Coturnix japonica: one gene and its partner. The protein of the gene in region 1 binds, or shares a complex with, the protein of each later gene. Links are inferred from orthologs where the notes say so. Each region holds a gene or a part of one and is shown in the gene's direction. Other genes may lie near its edges. The genes, in order: AAK1 and PDZ and LIM domain protein 5.

Region 1 (3,807 bases):
TAACCACATTAAACTCACCAATAGATCTTTTTGCTGCAGGTACACTACGTTATCTTACAGAGCACCAGAAATGGTCAACCTGTATAGTGGCAAACTTATCACTACAAAAGCAGACATATGGGTATGTATAAAGCCCACTTAACATCACACAACCAGATTGCAGTTTGCTTTTGTTGTCCTAACAACAGGATAACTTTCTGGCTGGGGATAGCCTGATTTCCATAGGGTTGGATAGTTTCTGAGTAGAGTTCCTCTGCTTGATGTTTCTGAGTTACTGCTAACAGGCTGGCTTCTAGGTAAGACACGATTGGTGCTTTGCATGCTGCTTTTCATGTGGTTTTAATATAGAGATGTATGAAATTTCAGAATTGATCAGTGCAAACATGATTTTGTATCATAAAACAGAAGATTCATGGTGTTGTAACTTGTGCTTCTATTGAGGAAGGGTATGAAACCGATGTTACTAGGCAGAAGATGGGAAATGGAGGAAAAAAAGGCCTCCCCTCAGGAATAATAGTATGTTTCTGGGCAGTGTAATGCAGCCCAGAGTCATCAAACCTGGCCAAGGACCAGGCTTTTGTACTGCTGTTTCTAATGAGGAGTGAATCTTGCTATGTTTTCTATATTGAGAGAAAAATGCAGCTGTGGTGTAATCCCTTACTAGATAACCTAACAATGAAAGGATGGTAGGCTTCCTCTTAATTGGGACGAAGAGCCTTTGTTGATTGTGGTGAAGTGGCAATTCAGCAAATAGGATGTGTTAAAAATGCTAATTTGGGGTGTGTTTGTATGGTTTTTGAAGCCCTGAGCTAGGAAGCAGCAGTGTAAGGAGGGTGTTTATGGATCCTGGATAGTTATGTTTGCATATACAAGAGGGAAAATTGCTGGCGTGGCATCAGCTGGAAAGAGTCCTCTGTCTTATCTGTGAGCTCAGCCAAGGGTCAGGAACACAGCAGCTCCTATGGGGAACTGAGTTCAGCGGGAGGTTTGTAGTCCTAGGCCCCAGACCAGCGTTGGGTCTCTTGCCTTGCTGAGCCCCAGAGAGGGGAGGGCACAGCTGTAACAGCATGAAAAGACTGTCAGGGCCTCAGAGGCAGCTAGAGGAGAACCCTGGGTTTGTACCCTTTGTGATCATGTAGAGAGGTAGAGACAGAGGCTCAAGCTACTCTCTTCTTCTTGGCCTTGAAGGAGTTTTGTTCTGTTCATTTGCTGCATTCCCATACAAGAATACAGTGATGTGCAGAGTACAGCCTTAGCTTAAGGCCTCTTGCAGTGGTTTGCCCTGCTTGGCACCTTCCTTTCCCCAAAACTCATGAGGTTCTTTTCAATTGGAGTACAATTTAATTATCAAATCCTATAACAAAAGCCACAAGCTGATGGTGAGTTGTTCTGCATTAGGAAATGTGTTCCCCTGCTCCCTCTGGGATGGCAGCAGTGTTTCATAATTAAGGATGATGGATGCCATTTGGTTTCCCTATTAATTTTGCTTTGTATGTGGGGAGCAGGAAAAGTTTTTGTGCGTCTACATGCAGTAGCATACACCAATGTAAGGTCTATGTAGATTTGGGGATCTTGTTGCATCTTTCAGTTAATTAACTCACATGCTCTGCTTTTTGTCTTCAGGCCCTCGGCTGTTTGCTGTACAAGCTGTGTTATTTCACTTTGCCATTTGGGGAGAGTCAGGTGGCAATCTGTGATGGCAACTTCACCATTCCAGATAACTCTCGGCATTCACAGGACATGCACTGCCTCATCCGTGAGTTCCTGCAGCAGAACAGTTGGTGTTTCTTGCTGTAATAGGCTTGCTTTGCACACAGGAATGGATGTAATGATTTCCTCATAGCTTGGGACCAGCAGGGATTTGTTGAAAGGCAGGAAAAGAGAAAACCTTGGTTTAAGAGTCCTATGTTAACTTAGAAATAAGCCTATTTATGCAAAAACATGTTTCTCCAGTACCAAATCTCTTTGGATAAAGAACTGAGAAGAACCACGGTGACTTAGACCAGTGATAAGAATTTGTCTTATGTGAATTGGGAAACAGAACTGAAATGATTTATAAATAACCTACTGCCTAGAGTGAATGTGTAATTAAGGGTACAACGTGTTACTCTTGGCAGAGCTGGGGAAGCTCTCTCATGAGTACAGCATATTTTTTTTAAACTCTTTTTCTAGCCATGACCCTGAGTGACAGTTATTTTCTAAGCACCCTGGTATGTTCTTTGCTCATATAAAGGCAGTGGTCTGTGTGTCTTCCTGCCCCACACACTCACTAGGGCTGTGTCAACCTCTTTTCCTGTGGGCTCACTTGGAAATGCAGAAGTCAAACCCTACACCATTCCCTAAGCAGTTTGTATTTCCCCTTCTTTAGAGCCTGCAATAGCAGCCAGGAGATACTCATAGGAGTGTTTAAAAAATATATATATATTTCCTAGACCATCCTTGTATGAATTTGTTCCATTTTTCTGATGTATCTTTTAAAGGGTATATGCTTGAGCCAGACCCTGATAAGAGACCTGATATTTATCAGGTCTCCTACTTTGCATTCAAACTGGCAAAGAAGGAATGTCCAGTCCAGAATGTCCAGGTGAGTAGTGAAGGAGTGGTCTGATGTTGTGTGAGGAGTTGGGGGTGGCAGCTGCTAAATATTGAGGATGCTGCTGTGTTATATTGATTGCTTGGTACTGTCCTTCCCAGATTCTTTTTGAATACCCAACATTTGCAATCTGAACACAAAGCTTCATAGCACATGTAGAATATGCTTAGAAAGCTGAACCATATCTTTTTCCTCATGAAATGCTCACCCAAGCTCCTCTCATGCCATTAACAAGGAGGGGTTTGTCATTTGCCCATCATGAGGAATAATTGCTTTGGGGATTCTTCAACCTCCAAATTTCATCGCTGTGCTTTTGCAAATGATTTCTGACTGTTTTCCGCCCACAAAGTACTAAACTCAGTGTTTTTGGGATCTGCAGAACTCTCCTATCCCTGCTAAACTCCCAGACCCAGTCAAAGCAAGTGAAGCTGCAGCAAAGAAGAGTCAACCAAAGGCCAGGTAACCACACCTTCATTACAGTTAGCTCTCTTTGACTGTGTGTTATCTCTCTGCTTTCTGTTAGAAAAGATGCTTGGCATATTTAGCTGCTTCTTCTTGGGCTTACGTTTATATATTGAGACAAACACTGCAGTCCTGAGGCTTTGCTTCAATGACATAAATATCCATTGATCTGAAAGACAGAAGATGCAGATGCTGGAAATTTTTGTGTGAGAGGAGGGAGGGATTTGGGCAATACTCAGCATGACTCAACAGCTAGGCTTTGTCCTGAAGACATTGCTTGACAGCAGCAGTTGAGGTTCATGCACTTAAATGAATCTACTGCGTCATCTATTCTAAGGCAGTACCCAGAGTACTTGAGATAGCAGGGAGACTGCAGTGGGCCTGGAATTGGCCCAGAGTACAAGGCGGCTGAAAAATTGCATTAGGAACAATTGCTGTTTGAATTTGGTCCTCAGCAGATGGTAACCTTACCCAGTAATTACTGTGTGCAATTGCTGCAGTTTCTGCAAGAGCTGTGTAATTTCTTTGGCCAGCACAATCTCCATCTGAATAGCCTGATGTGTGGGGGAACTGCTGTATTGTTGTGGTGGTTCTCCTGCCACTGCTTGCTCCTGTTTATATTACTGTAATGAAGTATATATATTTTGACGGACAAAACTTCTGCCTTATTTTACTGCAATGTGAGCATTATAGCAGTGGGCACTCCAGAAACAACAGTTTTCTTCCTGTTCTGAAATAGGGCATCTCTATTC
Region 2 (4,377 bases), on another chromosome or scaffold:
AACAATTCATCTGTAAAGAAAAATGAGTGGCTTTTGGAGAAGTGGAAAGAGATGTTTTTCTTGAATGCACCTAGATAGCCCAGGCTCAGTGAGTGGTGACAAGCTGCAGCTCAGCCAGATGGCACAGGACCATATTGGCCTTAGGGCTGTCACATGGGCTCTGCTGTGCTGTGGGGTCCTGGGGTTCTTTCTCCTCTGATAAATGTAACACTGAGAGAATGACCTAAAGCCCTTGTGACACCATGAAGAATCCCTGGGATGGGAAATTTTTACCTCTGCAAATTAAAACCATGTGAGAGTCTATGTGTGTAATGGGTTTTTTTCAGTTTTGCCTGATTAGAGACACTTAATAGGAAAAGAGCGGGGTAAGGAGGACAGATTTGCAGAAGAGTGGAACTAAACTGGCAGGGTCTTGGATGCTTTTGTTGCTGAGATGTGATGCGAGATTCACTCGGTTCAGTCAGCACAGCCAAGAAAATGGCCAGCTCAGTGGGGTGACATTAAATAGCTCCATTAAAGCTCACACAGCTAGGACTGGGAAGACAAGGGACAGTGCTACCCTGCTTCCAAGCAAGGACAGAAGGGCTAGGCAGGATGATGATAATGGACTGTATTTCATTTGCTGCGGATTTAGCAAAGGATTTAAAGCTTTCTTTTGCACTCTTCCTCCATAGCAAATCCGTGCTTGAAGACCAAATTGAAATTATCATGATTGCAGTCCCGCATGCTCTGCTAATGAGGTGTGTCTCTTTCACAACCACTTTTACTTGAGATCACTTCTAATGAACACAAAGAATAGAAGGGAATTCCAGGCCTCTCCCAGCTGTGATACAGCTAAACCTCCAAGGCAGTGCCGCTGCTCTCTACACTTCTTTCAGCTGCCAGGCCCCAGTTGTGCCTCAGATCAGTGGAGAATGGCAACACACTACCCAGCCAGCAGTCCTGCCTCTGGACCTGCTACTGCACAAGCCTCCCTTAATGGCTGATTTTTAAGTTACATTTATTCACAGTCACGTTACACCCATTTGTTCTTGTGCACTGTTTTGTAGCTCAAACATCTCTTCTGCCTTACTGCTGTTCACTGCTTTGATGCGTTTGGGGAGGCAATCATATCCTCATCACTCCACCTGGTACTCCATGGTAAATAAAGCAAAGTTCTACTCTTTTTGTAGGAGTTCCCTGTAGAATAGCTATGGCAGCCTACATGAGCTGCGCTGTAAGCTATGGCTGCCCCTTTGCACCAGTTTGAATAGCAGCTCCTTTCTTCAGGCTGAGGATAGAGGGGTGACGTGTGGACACTCAGCTTCCTCTCCCTCGTCACCCTGCGTTTCACAGGTGCACCTTTAGCAGGGTAAAGTAAAAAGAAAAAAGAAAAAGAAATGCATTTCCCTGTTAAAAAAAAATAGTGAATCGGGACTAATTCAGGTCCTCCCCAGAGCGGTGCGTTAGAGCGTTTCCAGCAGCCGGACAGCGGGCATCGCGCTCCGCCCTTGCCCCGTCCCCACCGCGCGGTGCCGGGCCGGGCCGTGCCGGGGGAGGAGCGGCGGGAGACGGAAGTGAAAACAAGAGCGAGGGACGGAGCTGCTGCCTGGCAGACGCGCCGCGGGTGTCTTTGTCGCTCCGCGCCCCGCAGCGCCGGGCTGGGTGAGTGAGTGAGCGGGGTTAGGCGGGGAGGGAGCGGGGAAGCCAGAAAGTTGGGGTGGGGCTCGAACTTCGTGCTGCTTCTCGTAACCTGTAAGTTGATTTTGTTGTAATTTAACTCCGTGTCTGGGTGCTGCTGGGCTGCCTGGGGAGCTCCCCGCAGGGTGCCGGACTCAGGTCGCTGCCTTGGGGCTGGAGCTTCGATCCGTGCCCCTCCAGGGCGGTGCGGCGGGGCTGGCGGCTCGGTGCTGTCACTGCCCCAAGGGCTGCCTCCTCCGCGGGTCCCCGTTGTTCCGCGTCCCCACGCGTGTTGACGGGCGTTTCTGCCAGGGTTTTGAAATTCCCCCTTCCAGAAGGCGACCCAGCGAATGTTTGGTGAAAGCCGATGGAAGTTGCGCAGTTCATCCGTGGTTGCTCAATTCCCCCTACACCAAGTGGGCTTGTGAGGTTTAGGTGCTGCACTCGCACTTTGAGAAGTGCAGTGAATTTCCGAGTGATCGCCTCCTTCCTGCTCCGTCCGGGAGGCTGGAGGTGCAGGGTTGCGGGGGTTAGAAAGGAGAGAGGAGAGGTGCTGGGAGCCACGCGAGGCATTTCACCAGGCAGTCTTTCTCCCCAGTTTGTAGCTGTTTCGAACGGGGCGGGGGAAACCATCCTTGTTTGAACGTAATTTCATCTTTTCCTGAAGCTGTTGTTGCAACTAGTTGTTACTTTTTTTTTTTTTTCCCCCCCTCTAAACTTGGTTATGAGACCCTTGAGCTCTTCTCAGAGGTAAAGCCGCCTGCCGGTGCCCGTGAACCGCACGTGTGTTGCTCGCTGTACACGGTGTGCTTTCCTGACGTCCCCAGGGTACGGTGACCTGTTGCTGTGGTGTCTTTCATTTAGTGGGAATGAGAAGAATTCTCCCTTTCATAAGGGAGGAAATCTGTGACTAATTAAAATCCCCTTTCAGAAGGAATTAGCGAAGGTTGTACTTCTCGCTTCAGTGGTGAGCAAGCCCCCTGAGAGCTCAAACTCGCTTGGTGATTTTTCTTCTTCTCAACCTCTCCAGCAGCAGGAAGGATGGGGGTGGGGAGGAGAGAGGGCGGTGGCATTTACCATGCTGAAGATTTTGGGGCCCTTTGAGCCAGTGTTGGGGGTAGAGCTGCCCTGGGAGCTGCCGAGGTCGCTCTGGTTTCCACACCTCGGGTGGCCCACTGGAATGGGTGCCTTTGCAAACCTTTCTGCCTCGAAACCTAAAATCCCCTTGCAGTGCACGGTGGCGTGCAGCCCACTCTCTGCAGTGTGCCAGTGGTGCCACCTTAAATGTCAGCACAGGAGCTGGAATCCGGCCGTGCCGCGGTGTAGGCTTACACCCTGCTCTGCTGTCTTCTTTGCCTTACTTCAACCATACCAAAATAGTCGGGATCCACTACCTAAGATGTCATTGTAATGTTACTTATCTGAGGTGAAACTGAAGCCCTTATCTGTGGCTTTGGGCAGCAATTAAGTGCGGAGGTTGCCTTTTAAAGGTAATTTGTTGCTTGCATTGGCGTGGAAGGGAGGGAGATGCTGGAGTTTTACTTTGCTTTTTTTTTTTTTTCCTTCTTCTTTCACCTCACTGTTACGATGTGGCTGTCAGTATTTTAATTTAATTTGCAGCTTTCATTTGAGACTTGGTGTTAAGATCCGTCTTGTCTGTAGCATTGTTCTGTCAATGTGATGTTAAGCTGTAAAACTAAAAGCCATAGGGTTTTTATTTTCTTCTGGTTAACTTCAAAGTTGTGACATTTTGACGTTGTTCTGAAACTGTCAAACCATAATGTGTTGAGAAACAAGTTCTGAGCTGATGACATGGCAGCATGTGATACTCATTTTATCAGAGACGAATGTGCCAGTGGTGCTAACTTCTTCCATACATGGATTTAAGGGATGCTATCAATTCATGCTTGTCTCAGCACTGAGGTTTGTTTGGTGTTTTCCTTTTTCCCCCACAGTATCCTGTCAGAAGTTTGACAAGTACTTCTTACTGTCTGCTTCTCTTGAGATGCAAATGTCTCAACACCAGAAATCTTGAAAGTAATAAGAGCATGTTGCCAGCTCCCTATGTTTCTTTCTAATCAATCGAGCACAGCAAAGCATGGGGAATGAAAGTATAAGTAATGGCAGACATCATGTAGATTTTTTGGCTGTCCTTATACTATCCTTATACTACGGGGAAGTGATGGGCTGTGTTTTTTTTTTTGTTTTTTTTTTTTGTTTGTTTGTTTTTTTAAACTTCTTTAATTTAAAGGTGTAATCCTCTTCTTCTGCAGGCATCAAGTCCTTGGCTTGGATCCTTGAATACTGAACACCATGAGCAACTACAGTGTATCTTTAGTCGGCCCGGCTCCTTGGGGTTTCAGGCTTCAAGGTGGCAAGGATTTCAACATGCCCCTGTCCATCTCTCGGGTGAGTGTGTTCTCCCCTCTGCTTGCATCTGGGTATCCATTGTGCTGCAGTCAGCCTGCTGCCTTCATCAGACTAAAAAGCCTTGAGGTACTGGGCTCAACTTGCCCCCGTGGCTTGGTGGCTAGGAAAATACATCTTTGTTGTCTGAAGGCGCCAAGAAAACGTACATCTTCATCTAAAATCGTTGCTTTATCTATGCAGCAAAACAGGAAGAAAGCACCCTTGAATTCCCCTCCCTGCTCACCCTCAGAAAGTTGTGACATGAGGAAGGAGGCTGGCAGGAAATGGGCAATTTTCTGCCTATGCAGT

Evidence for each region.
Region 2: the proteins of AAK1 (region 1) and PDZ and LIM domain protein 5 are in contact, whole or in part, in a crystal structure (PDB 9F6S), measured with the Homo sapiens proteins. The link is inferred for Coturnix japonica from reciprocal best matches to the Homo sapiens genes AAK1 and PDLIM5. Residues at the interface, in NP_055726.4 of Homo sapiens: Asp956, Leu958, Ile959, Asp960, Leu961; in NP_006448.5 of Homo sapiens: Ala12, Pro13, Trp14, Gly15, Phe16, Arg17, Leu18, Phe24, Gln67, Ile70, Lys71.

What each region holds. Positions count from the first base shown.
Region 1 is NC_029537.1:1,355,046-1,358,852, forward strand, and holds part of AAK1 (AP2-associated protein kinase 1), read left to right. Parts: intron 1-39; coding exon 40-121; intron 122-1,623; coding exon 1,624-1,756; intron 1,757-2,480; coding exon 2,481-2,584; intron 2,585-2,972; coding exon 2,973-3,052; intron 3,053-3,807.
Region 2 is NC_029519.1:52,281,380-52,285,756, forward strand, and holds the start of PDZ and LIM domain protein 5, read left to right. Parts: upstream 1-1,531; 5' UTR 1,532-1,644; intron 1,645-2,384; exon of another isoform or gene 2,385-2,487; intron 2,488-2,874; exon of another isoform or gene 2,875-3,149; intron 3,150-3,231; exon of another isoform or gene 3,232-3,254; intron 3,255-3,558; exon of another isoform or gene 3,559-3,582; intron 3,583-3,591; exon of another isoform or gene 3,592-3,696; intron 3,697-3,753; exon of another isoform or gene 3,754-3,776; intron 3,777-3,932; 5' UTR 3,933-3,972; coding exon 3,973-4,068; intron 4,069-4,377. UniProt on the Homo sapiens protein: May play an important role in the heart development by scaffolding PKC to the Z-disk region. May play a role in the regulation of cardiomyocyte expansion. Isoforms lacking the LIM domains may negatively modulate the scaffolding activity of isoform 1.